Linked DNA regions of Arabidopsis thaliana. The protein of the gene in region 1 purifies or fractionates together with the protein of each later gene. This does not show direct contact. Each region holds a gene or a part of one and is shown on either strand. Other genes may lie near its edges. The genes, in order: PEX3-1 and AT5G17510.

What was found.
Region 2: the proteins of PEX3-1 (region 1) and AT5G17510 fractionate together in Arabidopsis thaliana (co-fractionation; one large-scale study listed by BioGRID). This does not show direct contact.

Annotation. Positions count from the first base shown.
Region 1 is NC_003074.8:6,219,032-6,223,739, forward strand, and holds PEX3-1 (peroxin 3-1), read left to right. Parts: upstream 1-1,886; coding exon 1,887-1,966; intron 1,967-2,051; coding exon of another isoform or gene 2,052-2,063; coding exon 2,064-2,213; exon of another isoform or gene 2,214-2,290; coding exon of another isoform or gene 2,291-2,304; coding exon 2,305-2,495; intron 2,496-2,592; coding exon 2,593-2,723; intron 2,724-3,011; coding exon 3,012-3,139; intron 3,140-3,294; coding exon 3,295-3,501; intron 3,502-3,648; coding exon 3,649-3,892; 3' UTR 3,893-4,042; downstream 4,043-4,708. Other genes in the region: MOS4 (modifier of snc1,4), read left to right, coding at 4,217-4,456. UniProt on the Arabidopsis thaliana protein: Involved in morphology determination of peroxisomes, but not in import of peroxisomal matrix proteins. May act as a docking factor for PEX19 and be necessary for the import of peroxisomal membrane proteins in the peroxisomes.
Region 2 is NC_003076.8:5,768,550-5,773,993, forward strand, and holds AT5G17510 (mediator of RNA polymerase II transcription subunit-like protein), read right to left. Parts: upstream 3,847-5,444; 5' UTR 3,795-3,846; coding exon 3,316-3,794; intron 2,600-3,315; coding exon 1,969-2,599; 3' UTR 1,763-1,968; exon of another isoform or gene 1,380-1,762; intron 1,376-1,379; downstream 1-1,375. Other genes in the region: AT5G17500 (Glycosyl hydrolase superfamily protein), read left to right, coding at 80-406, 498-694, 767-1,170; RCP1 (root cap 1 (RCP1)), read right to left, coding at 4,247-4,329, 4,468-4,529, 4,603-4,665, 4,761-4,879, 4,969-5,070.

The DNA.
Region 1 (4,708 bases):
TCATCTTTCAGTATGTTATTCCTGGTATAGAAAGAGTGTTACAAAACTCACCTGATTTAAAGAAGCTAACATTACTCACAAAGGATTTCTACCATAAACCGGTATATTTTACTACCATATATATAAACCTCTTTTATTTTCCATGATTACCTTTTCTGTCATCCAAGAACCATGTTTTTTTTCTGTTGTGCAGGGTGAGTATCTTGGCGACCACATGGATTTGGAAGGCTTTAATCTCGATCAATGTTGGAAATCAAAATATGGTGTCTTTTGGAACAAGTCATGTTTGGATGTAGAGTCAGAGCACGTTGTTTCATTCGTGGAACTTATGCTTAAAAACACAAAGGCATTAGACAAGATGGTCGTACTGTTGGAAGACCATTACGTTAGGTTTAAAGAGATGGTTCCAAGACTTTCTCACAACTATAATATCTCCATTGCCCTCTACACCTTCAAGCCGCAAAGTTAGATTAGAGGTGAATATGATCATTGAGTCTTATTGAGCATTTTACCCCAAGTTAGATTCTTGATTTTGATTTTGATGAAAACCAGCTGTATAACCGGTGAAAACCAGCGTTGATTATGTCCAAGATAGTATTAAAAGAAGAGATAGTAGTTAGTTAGTTTTTTTTGTGTAAGTCACAAGTTCTTACGAAATTAGAGAGGGAAAAATTATTGAAATGTGTGTTGCTATTAACCTTTTGGATGTGATCTCTCTATCAGATTGTTAATTTACTAATTCTTTTGAACCCTGATATTGGAAATTTACATCTAGTTCTAGCTCAAAAACGATGTAAATTAAGCTCTAATTTTTTTCAGTCGGTAAGTTTTCAATTATAGAATAACATGTCAGTCAGTATTTTGTTTTTGTTATGCCGATAACATTTCAATTTTGGTGTGGAATGTGTAGTTCTACTTGACATGATAACGAACGAAGCCTCAAGCCTGTATATACGAGATAAAATCGAAGTAGATAGATCACTGGATGGATCCAGATCATGTTGGGGAAAAGAGACATTAAAGAGGTTGTAGATTGTTTGTATATCCGAGGTTGTCGTTGCATGAAAAGAGACATATAAGTGAAGACAAGAAATCTTGAAAATCTCTAGTTCAGTCCAAAGGTTTGAGGAGAGTTTGAACATTATGAAATTGCTTCTACACGTGGGCCTACTTATAAACCGGAAATGTCAATGGAACCGGTTTGTTTGTTGGACATTCATTATATACAAAATTGACTGGTAATGTTAGTCCATTTTATTAAATGTTGGATTTAATTTTGTACCTAAATAAGCATATATATATATATATACATATATATAACTGAAAGTATTTCTTGAGCTAATGGATACAAAATCTACACAATACGGTTCGGTTTGATTCAATAGCCAACACTATTTGATTTTTCTAAACCAACGATAAAATCGGTCTACTGAAATTACTACCGAGTTTATCAGTTCAACATCTTTCGGTCGGAACGTATATGTATATGTTGGTTGACCTAATAAAGCAAATAGACTTTGGTTCGGTTAAGTTCGGTTAAATAAAGAAAAAGCAGATTCTGAGCTTTGTTTGTGAGATTCAGTTTCCAATATCAGAGAATCTCTGTGTCGCCTGAAGTGATAACATTCTCATTATTCACCCAAGGAGAGAGATCGGAGCTAAAAAGCCATCTCTCGCCGGAAAATTTCTCAGTTTTCTTATTACCTTAGCCACAGACAACAAGACGACAGAGGAATCTAATCTTAGCCCCCTTTCCTCTCTGTCTCTCTCTATATCTCTGTCTTTAGGCTTTGAGATATCTTCAACACGAAGCTTTTTGCTTCTTTTTTTTATCTCTTTAAAAAATTCCAGCCAATGGTTCGAATCCAATAGTAGCTTCAAAGGTCATGGATTTAGTCAGGTGTGTTCTAAATTCTGATCTCCTTATGTATTCCTTTCTCTCGCTATTGGTTTCTAGTTCCGTAGGGTTTTAGATACGTTTGCAACTGAGGACAATTAGGTTTCTTTTAATCCACATCACGATTGATTCAAAGTTCATTGTGTTTCTGTAGGGGTTTGTGGAGGAAACATAGAAGGAAGATTTTGGTGACGACGACTTGTTTGGGAAGTGGGTATTTGCTCTATAAACTATACAATGCCCATACTCGTAAGCTCGCTGATTTGGAACGAGAGCTTGCTAATGAGCGTGAAAACGACGAGATCATCAAAACCCAGTTGAGTTTTTGTAACCTCTCGTCTTTATTTTTTGCTTGTTTATCGATTTCTAGTCCTTATTGGTTTTGTTCTCTCTATGCTCTATGTTAGAATGAAGGCACATTTCGATAACATTCAGATGATTGCTGATACTACTACATTGCCTCACGCAATTCATCACTTGAGTAGTCGTGTAGTTGAAGAGATTGATGTCTCGAGTATTATGGATAAGCTAAGCAAAGGCAAAGGAATATTGATTCCTTCTGAGAAGCTTCAACTCTGGAATGAGCTCAAAATTTTGAGTGCGTTGTTGTTCCCTTACTTGTACTTCTCGTGCTCTGTGGCAACATTGGATCTTCTCATTAATCAATCTTTTTAAATGTGTTTCCTTGTGTTCAGGTTTCACGAGAATGGTCTTGTCCCTTTGGTCGGTCACTATGCTTAGTTTGTACATTAGGGTTCAAGTCAATATTTTGGGCAGACATTTATATATCGACACTGCTAGAGGTCTTGGGAGCTCCCATTTACTTGTAAGACATTTTACTTTTCTCTTTTTATTGTCTTAAGAATCATTGTTAAGCTACTTCTAGCAAATTGGTCATTCTGATAAAATTTTGTGTACTTTCATTCTACTTGTTGCATTGTATCTTGAGATATCAAAATTTCAAATTGAGATTTCAAGGGGTAGAAGTTGATATTTTGCATCTTTTCCTTTCAAAATTATCGAAATTAGTGTATTCATTGGTCTTAGATATAACTCTTGGCTGGATTACCACAATCTTTACCAACGTCATTTCCTTGATATGTTTTTTTCTCAGGACGAACTAGATCTCATAGAGAGAGATGATGAACAAAAGTTTTTGACAAGCGCTGATTTTCTTGCGACCAGTGGCATGCCGAGTTTGATTTCTAACATGCAGAACGCAGTGAAAGAAGTTCTCAAGGGGTAATTTACATTACAAACCTACTTATCAAAGATGTCTCCCTTGTTTCTCATCCTTGAAGATTGATTTTATGGTGCCTCAAACTCAAATGCCTATGAAGAATCACTATACTTTTATGAACGTATAGCGAAATCTAACTATGTGTGTTTAATTGCAGAAAGCAGTTAAAGGATGTGTTAACCACAAGTGCTCTTCGAGAAACTGTGATGCGGATTCTCGATGTGTTTATGAGCACAGGAAGTCCACACCACTGGGTAGATTATCTAATGATGTCCCAAGACGCAACCACTGATGTTTCCTCTTCTGATGCAACTGTTACCAAGTTTCATCTACTCATAACCGAGACACGGGAAGTACTCACAAGGTAAAAAAAATCTCTGCTCTTTAACCCGCAAAAGACGAACAATTTCACTTCTTTAAAGCCTTGTCCTCGTTTCTGCTTCAATGCTCAAAGCAAGAATGTTGCAATGTAGCCTGTTAAACATTTCTTGGTCTTGTTTTCATGTTGCAGCAATGATTTTTCAAATGTAGCAGAGATCTCACTCAAGTGTTGTGCCGTTGCGTTAGTAGAGGAGATGGAAACGCAGACCGGTCTGGCCACAGGGATGCAATTGGCAAAGCTATTACCACAGATTGAGAAAACCATGCCGGAGATTTCAGCTGAGCCGGAGAAGAACCGGTTCTTGCAACTCATCCGAGATTTGCCTGAAGTTAAACTCTTTTTTACTCTTTTATACGCAAATATGCCTCAGTAGCATTATTAAACCCCATTGCCAAAAATTGTTTCCTGATCACTTTTTATCATATGTTTCGATTTACTTCAAAATAGTAAAACCAAACATCTCTAGAATAATTGTTCAATATCTATATCAAATCATTTACTAATATAGTAATATTGCAGCAACAAAAAAGGACACCGTGTATTACATATCTTTCAGTTTTTAGGGCCCTAGAAGCCCAAGGCCCAATAAAACCGGGTCGGTGATATTAACTTCTTCTTTTTTATTAACTTGGGTCTCTCCATCTTTCTCAGTTCTCACTATCTGGACACTTTCGATTTCTGAAGTTGAGAGACGACTATGGCGACGAACAATGGTGATGTCTTGATGTTGGAGGCGACGCCGGAGGCTGCGAGGCCCTGGGCTAGTGCGGCGAATGCAGAAGTTATCGATGCGCTTCCTTATATAGACGACGACTATGGCAATCCATTGATTAAGTCGGAGGTAGACCGTTTGGTGGAGGAAGAGATGCGTCGGAGCTCTAAGAAGCCAGCTGACTTTCTAAAGGACTTGCCTCCTCTTCCGAAGTTCGATTTTAAGGTGAATTTCACTGTGAATCCTTTTATCGATTTGTTTGTTCGTTTCTCTAGCTAGGGTTTGGAAATTTTGTTGGATTAGGGTTTAAAGGGAATTTGGTGAATTCCAATCTTTTGGTTTCTGGGTTTTACTTCATCTTGGACTTTATAGGAGTGAGTGTTGATTTTGGGTTTGTTATGATAGGGTTCTTGTTCTCTTCTTCTATTCGTTTTCTTAACGGAGAGAAAAGAGGAGCATAGTGTTTAGTGATTTATC
Region 2 (5,444 bases), on another chromosome or scaffold:
AACGCATATAAATAATAAATTAACTTGATTCTAACCTTTTTTTAAATAGAAAAAATGATTATTATTTTTCCACATGTAGGTACATGCAAAAAGGAGCAGAAGCAGTGCATACATCAAACCCTAACGTACTGGTCATACTCTCAGGGCTTAACTTCGATGCTGACCTAAGTTTCTTAAAAGATCGTCCAGTGAATCTTAGCTTCAAGAAAAAACTTGTCTTGGAGCTTCATTGGTATTCTTTCACTGACGGTACTGGTCAATGGAAGTCACACAATGTCAACGACTTTTGCAGCCAAATGTTCTCTAAGGAGCGTCGTACCGGCGGTTTTGTTCTCGACCAAGGCTTTCCTTTGTTCTTGAGCGAGTTTGGGACCGATCAAAGAGGTGGCGATCTTGAAGGAAACAGGTTCTCGACCAAGGCTTTCCTTTATAATTACATTTAGATATTTGCTTACCAATCAAAGCTTAAAGTACTTTTATCAACCGTATACCATTAGGTACATGAATTGTATGTTGGCATGGGCGGCCGAGAAAGATTTGGATTGGGCGGTTTGGGCGGTTACGGGAGTTTATTATTTCCGCGAAGGCAAACGTGGTGTAGTTGAAGCTTACGGTATGTTAGATGCGAATTGGCATAATGTTCATAACTATACTTATCTCCGTAGGCTCTCCGTCATTCAACCACCGCACACAGGTATTCATCAATCTTGCTTGTAATTTAACCAGATTATTATTACATATAGTTTGATGTAAATTTAATAAACAGGACCCGGTGTAAAGCACAATCATCACAAGAAAATATTTCATCCGTTAACCGGACTCTGCCTAGTGAGAAAGTCACACTGCCATGAGTCCGAGCTCACGTTAGGTCCATGCACAAAGGACGAACCGTGGAGCTATTCTCATGGAGGCATACTTGAGATCAGACGCGGTCACAAATCTTGCTTAGAAGGAGAAACAGCGGTCGGAAAAAGTGTGAAACTTGGCAGGATATGCACAAAGATTGAGCAAATATCGGCCACAAAGATGCATTTGTCGTTCAACACTAGTGACGGTTCGTTGGTATGCTTAGACGTGGATTCGGATAACAATGTTGTTGCTAATTCTTGCAACTGTTTGACCGGAGATACTACTTGTGAACCTGCAAGCCAATGGTTCAAAATCTTCTGAGGTTTATTTGTTGATTTAAGCTAAGAGAGAATAAATGTCTAATTAGGATTAGTGAATTGTTTAGTTATTCTACGTTTCCCTTCATAAGCTTCGTCCTCTGTGTTTTTATGGCAGAGAGAAGAAACAATTCTCCGAAACGATGACGATTTTGTATTGCCTTACTTCTTCACAAAGTTAACTCAAAACTTTTTAGGTTAGAACCCTAAAGCATTAATATTACCCTAGTTTTCATATTATCTTTTAAGGAAAAAAAACAAACAAAATTAGACCAATTTGATGAGAAAGTATGCAAAAATCCTCCACCTGAGGATTAAATTTGTGTAACTATTACAATCTTTTCACATATCACAATCAATCATTCCATACATGGCCAATACATAACCAATACAATTCTGTAATAGTAACTTACATATGATAATCTATTTTAGCTACTAAGCTTTACTATCTGGATCTCTTACACCTTCTACAAGATTCGGTTACTAGGTAACCAGCCTCTCCATCTCCATGTATCATGAAGACACTAATCATCAACATGTAATGCACACATCTAACTTATGCTACAAAACATCAAACAGATACAAGAAATGCTTACTTGGAACCATCATTGGTAATTCAGATAGCGGAGAGCAAGAGTATCATTAGGCTTTGAGTCTGACTATCAGATACCCATATACTTGACCTGAACCTGGCATATATAGCAGCTTGAAACTATAGAAATTGGAGTGATATCAAGAGCAACTGTAATTTCCTTTCCAGTTTCTAATACATGAGACTGCAAATAGTCTTCACCTTGGTCATTTACCGGCTATTCAAATCAAATTCTCCTGCTTCACGCCAGTTTTCTTGTTCCCCTGTCTCTCCATTCTCATTCTCCTCATCATTCAAGAAATCTTCTGAAGGTTCCTTGTCCTCTCTCTGACTGTTGTTTCCCCATCCATTCATCATCTCATCAGGGTTCATGTTACGTCCCTGTTCTCCCATCTCGTGGCTAAGCTGAATATTGCTGCCCTGATTTCCAACCGCATTAGCCCTTAATGGGTTACGAGCCATTATCTCAGCATGAGATTGAGACTGTCCAGCTTGAGCTAAAGCCGCCATCCGCAGCTTAGCCTCCTGAGCCTCCCGGCCAGCCTTCTCCCTATCCATTTCTGCTTTCAGTTCAATCAACGCTTTCCTTTCATCTTGTAGCAAAGCTTGTTCTACCATCAACCTTTCCTCAGATCTGAATTCTCCCATAGCTCTCTTTCGAGTTATTATGTTAAAAGCTAGTGCTTGCTTCTCAAACGTTGCCGTGAATTCAGCAACTTTCGCAGCAATGTTGTTATCCCATTGTTGAGAGCGGGACAAGGCCTGGCCTGTTGGGTCTGAATCAAGGATTCTATCATCCTCTTCTGCTTCGTAATCTGCTACGACATGATAAGGTAATAATCTGCACAGGTTGTAAGAATACACGCAATGTGAGTAGTGACCGCAGTAAACCAGAAACAGAATGTTCAAACAAGGCAATGGATCTATCTAGCAATTATAAACCTAATATTACGTCAATAGAACCTTTTCACACAGATATGGAAGAAGACAGGTAACAAAAATAGCAAGAATAATTAGTAATATCCACGGAACTCAGTAATGTTTCTCAACACTCAAAAGGAGGTATTTATAGCTTTTACGAGAAAAGACAGGACGTAATTCCAAATTGATCTCAAAGAAATGAGGACCATGCAGAGATGCCACATCAAACTCAGAGAGAAGAACAGGATCTCTTATACTTATAGACAGGGAAAATATAACAGATGCAGCATCTACCTTTTTCAGAAAGATACCTATTCAAGAAACTCATGCTTCCAGTAGACAAAGATCCCGTTTTTAATCTATAGTCACAATCTATAGTTGACCAAAAGGCTAACATATAGTATCATTCTAATTCTACTACCAAATAGGACAACAGAAAGCCTCAGGGCGACTCCTAAGGAGATAACAACTCAAAACCCAAAAAAACGTGATAGATCATTAAATTCAATTATTAATAGATAGATCAATGTTTGATATCATTAAATTGAGACTAGAAAACTATACTAATTGCTGCGGCTTTGATGAATTTCATCAAAAGTATATAAAGTTTGATAATTTGCATTTGATACAACAAACCTCTCGCAAGCATCTTCGAGAGAAGAGAAGGGTTGTTTAAAATTGGGGTGACAAACACGCCAAGCGTCCTGATAAGCGCATTGAAGCTCGATGTGATTCAATGGCCTCATCAATTTCTGCTGCTGCTGCTGTTGTTGTTGTTGCTGCATCATCTGCTGACTCGATACATTCTGCTGCTGCTGCTGTTGAAAATTCGGTGTCTGCTGTCCCAAATTAGGGTTAGGGGTAGGATTCTGCTGAGGCGGAGGATTAATGGGTCGGTTCTGAATCAACCCCGGTGGCCGGAGATGCACGTCGATGTTCGACGGGAATCTAGACATTGCTGCTTGTTGCTGTTGTTGTTTTTGCAATTGCTGCAATAGAAGCATTTGTTGTTGTCTCTGTTGTTGTTGTAGTTGGTGTTGATAGAGAAGTTGTTGTTGTTGCTGCTGCTGCTGAGGATTGTTGTTACCTCCCAATGGTGGCTTCGTGTCCTCCATTTTTGCTTTCTTTCTCTTTTAGGGATTCTATTTTGGGATTCTAGGGTTTTTCGGGGAAATGTTCTTCGCCGTGAATAATGGTTGTCTTGTCTAAGTGAGAGAAGAAAGAGGCTTGTGATTTATCTGGGCCAATCTAATTGGGCTTTTATGATTAAAGACCACAAATATTAAGCCAACTAATCAGACTAAACCGGGAAAACGATAGCCAAAGCTGAACCCGGGAAAACGATAGCCAAAGCTGAACCGAGAATGTTTCGATTTTGATTTTTGACCGTTCAATATCAAAAGTTATTTTTGATATCAGACATTATTTTACTATATGATTCAAGTAAAAAAATACATGAAATTACAGAGTAGTTGTCTTATAACCCTTAGGAAAAAAGAATGAAAATACATGTAATCTCTATGGACTTGCTTGAACAAAGGGCGTTTATGGCGTGTACATTCATTCATTACGGTCCAAAAACAAGTTCTTTCAAAGATCTAAACGGCGAGTTGTGACCATAAGCCACTGCATCTCTCCACAAAGCCAGTCCTGTTTCATACAAATGGGGGAAGAAACGGTTAAATGCGTTCAGAGAGTGATTTATGAACATCTCACACTTGAATATATGGTGGAAAACAAAAATGGAACGATGATAATGTAAGAGAGAGTATCTGTGAAGTAACCAACCTATCCATGAGATCAAACCAATTGTAGCTGCCACGAAGAATGACTGGCTGGTGCAATTTACCCTGTGGAGAATACCGGATTATCGATAAACTCATTTACTTGTGACAAAAGAGAGTTGTGTGCAAGGGTTCTTACAGGTATAAGCAAAGAATATTTCCATATCCATAAAAGAGAGTTGCCCATAGCGAACCAGTGAGCCTGCGTCATGGTTTAATGAATATCAAGCAGTTTTTTTACTACGGGTGAATATAGTTTAAGCTGAAAGGTTTCGAATTGAGAGAGCTTATATTTACCACATCAAATCACGGATAAATAGTGCTCGAGGGATCATAAGCCCGTTTCCCATCATCGAGAGCAACATTGTGATTGACGATAAGCCTTTTATGTTGTCCGGGTTTAGAAAATTTGTCCACTGAAGTGTAGAAGAACATCAGATATCCAATAGGGAAAGAGCAATTAGGAGAAAGTTCAAAGAACGAGAGAAAAAATGAGTTGTTATACCATTTGGGAAACTGGCATCCACATGAACATAAGAGTTGCTGTCCATCCAGATAAAGACCCTACAAACCTAACACCTTTCTCTGAAAGTTTCCCAGTTCGAGCCTGCATTCTTACCAGTAGGTAGTTAAGAGAAAAGAAGAACACTTATCCATATAAACAACTACACATCTTAACAGTTGTTTTGAAGGATCTACGAAACCAGGAATTAGTTGTCAGAGAATCCTAATACAGACTTGGAGAAAAAGCATCAAGGCCACCATTTTTTTTTTCTATAAAAAAGAAAACTCCTATTTCCTGACATAGTTTTTTTTGTTCATAAAGCCCAATAACAACACGAGGACTGAAGCGAAATTGCAATGAAAGAGATTCGGCATCCAACACTTAGCTCAATGCAAATGGTTACAATATTACCCAAGCTAATAATATGAAAACTTGTTAAAAAGGTTTCGAGATAATCTCCTAGAGGCTAAAAGTGA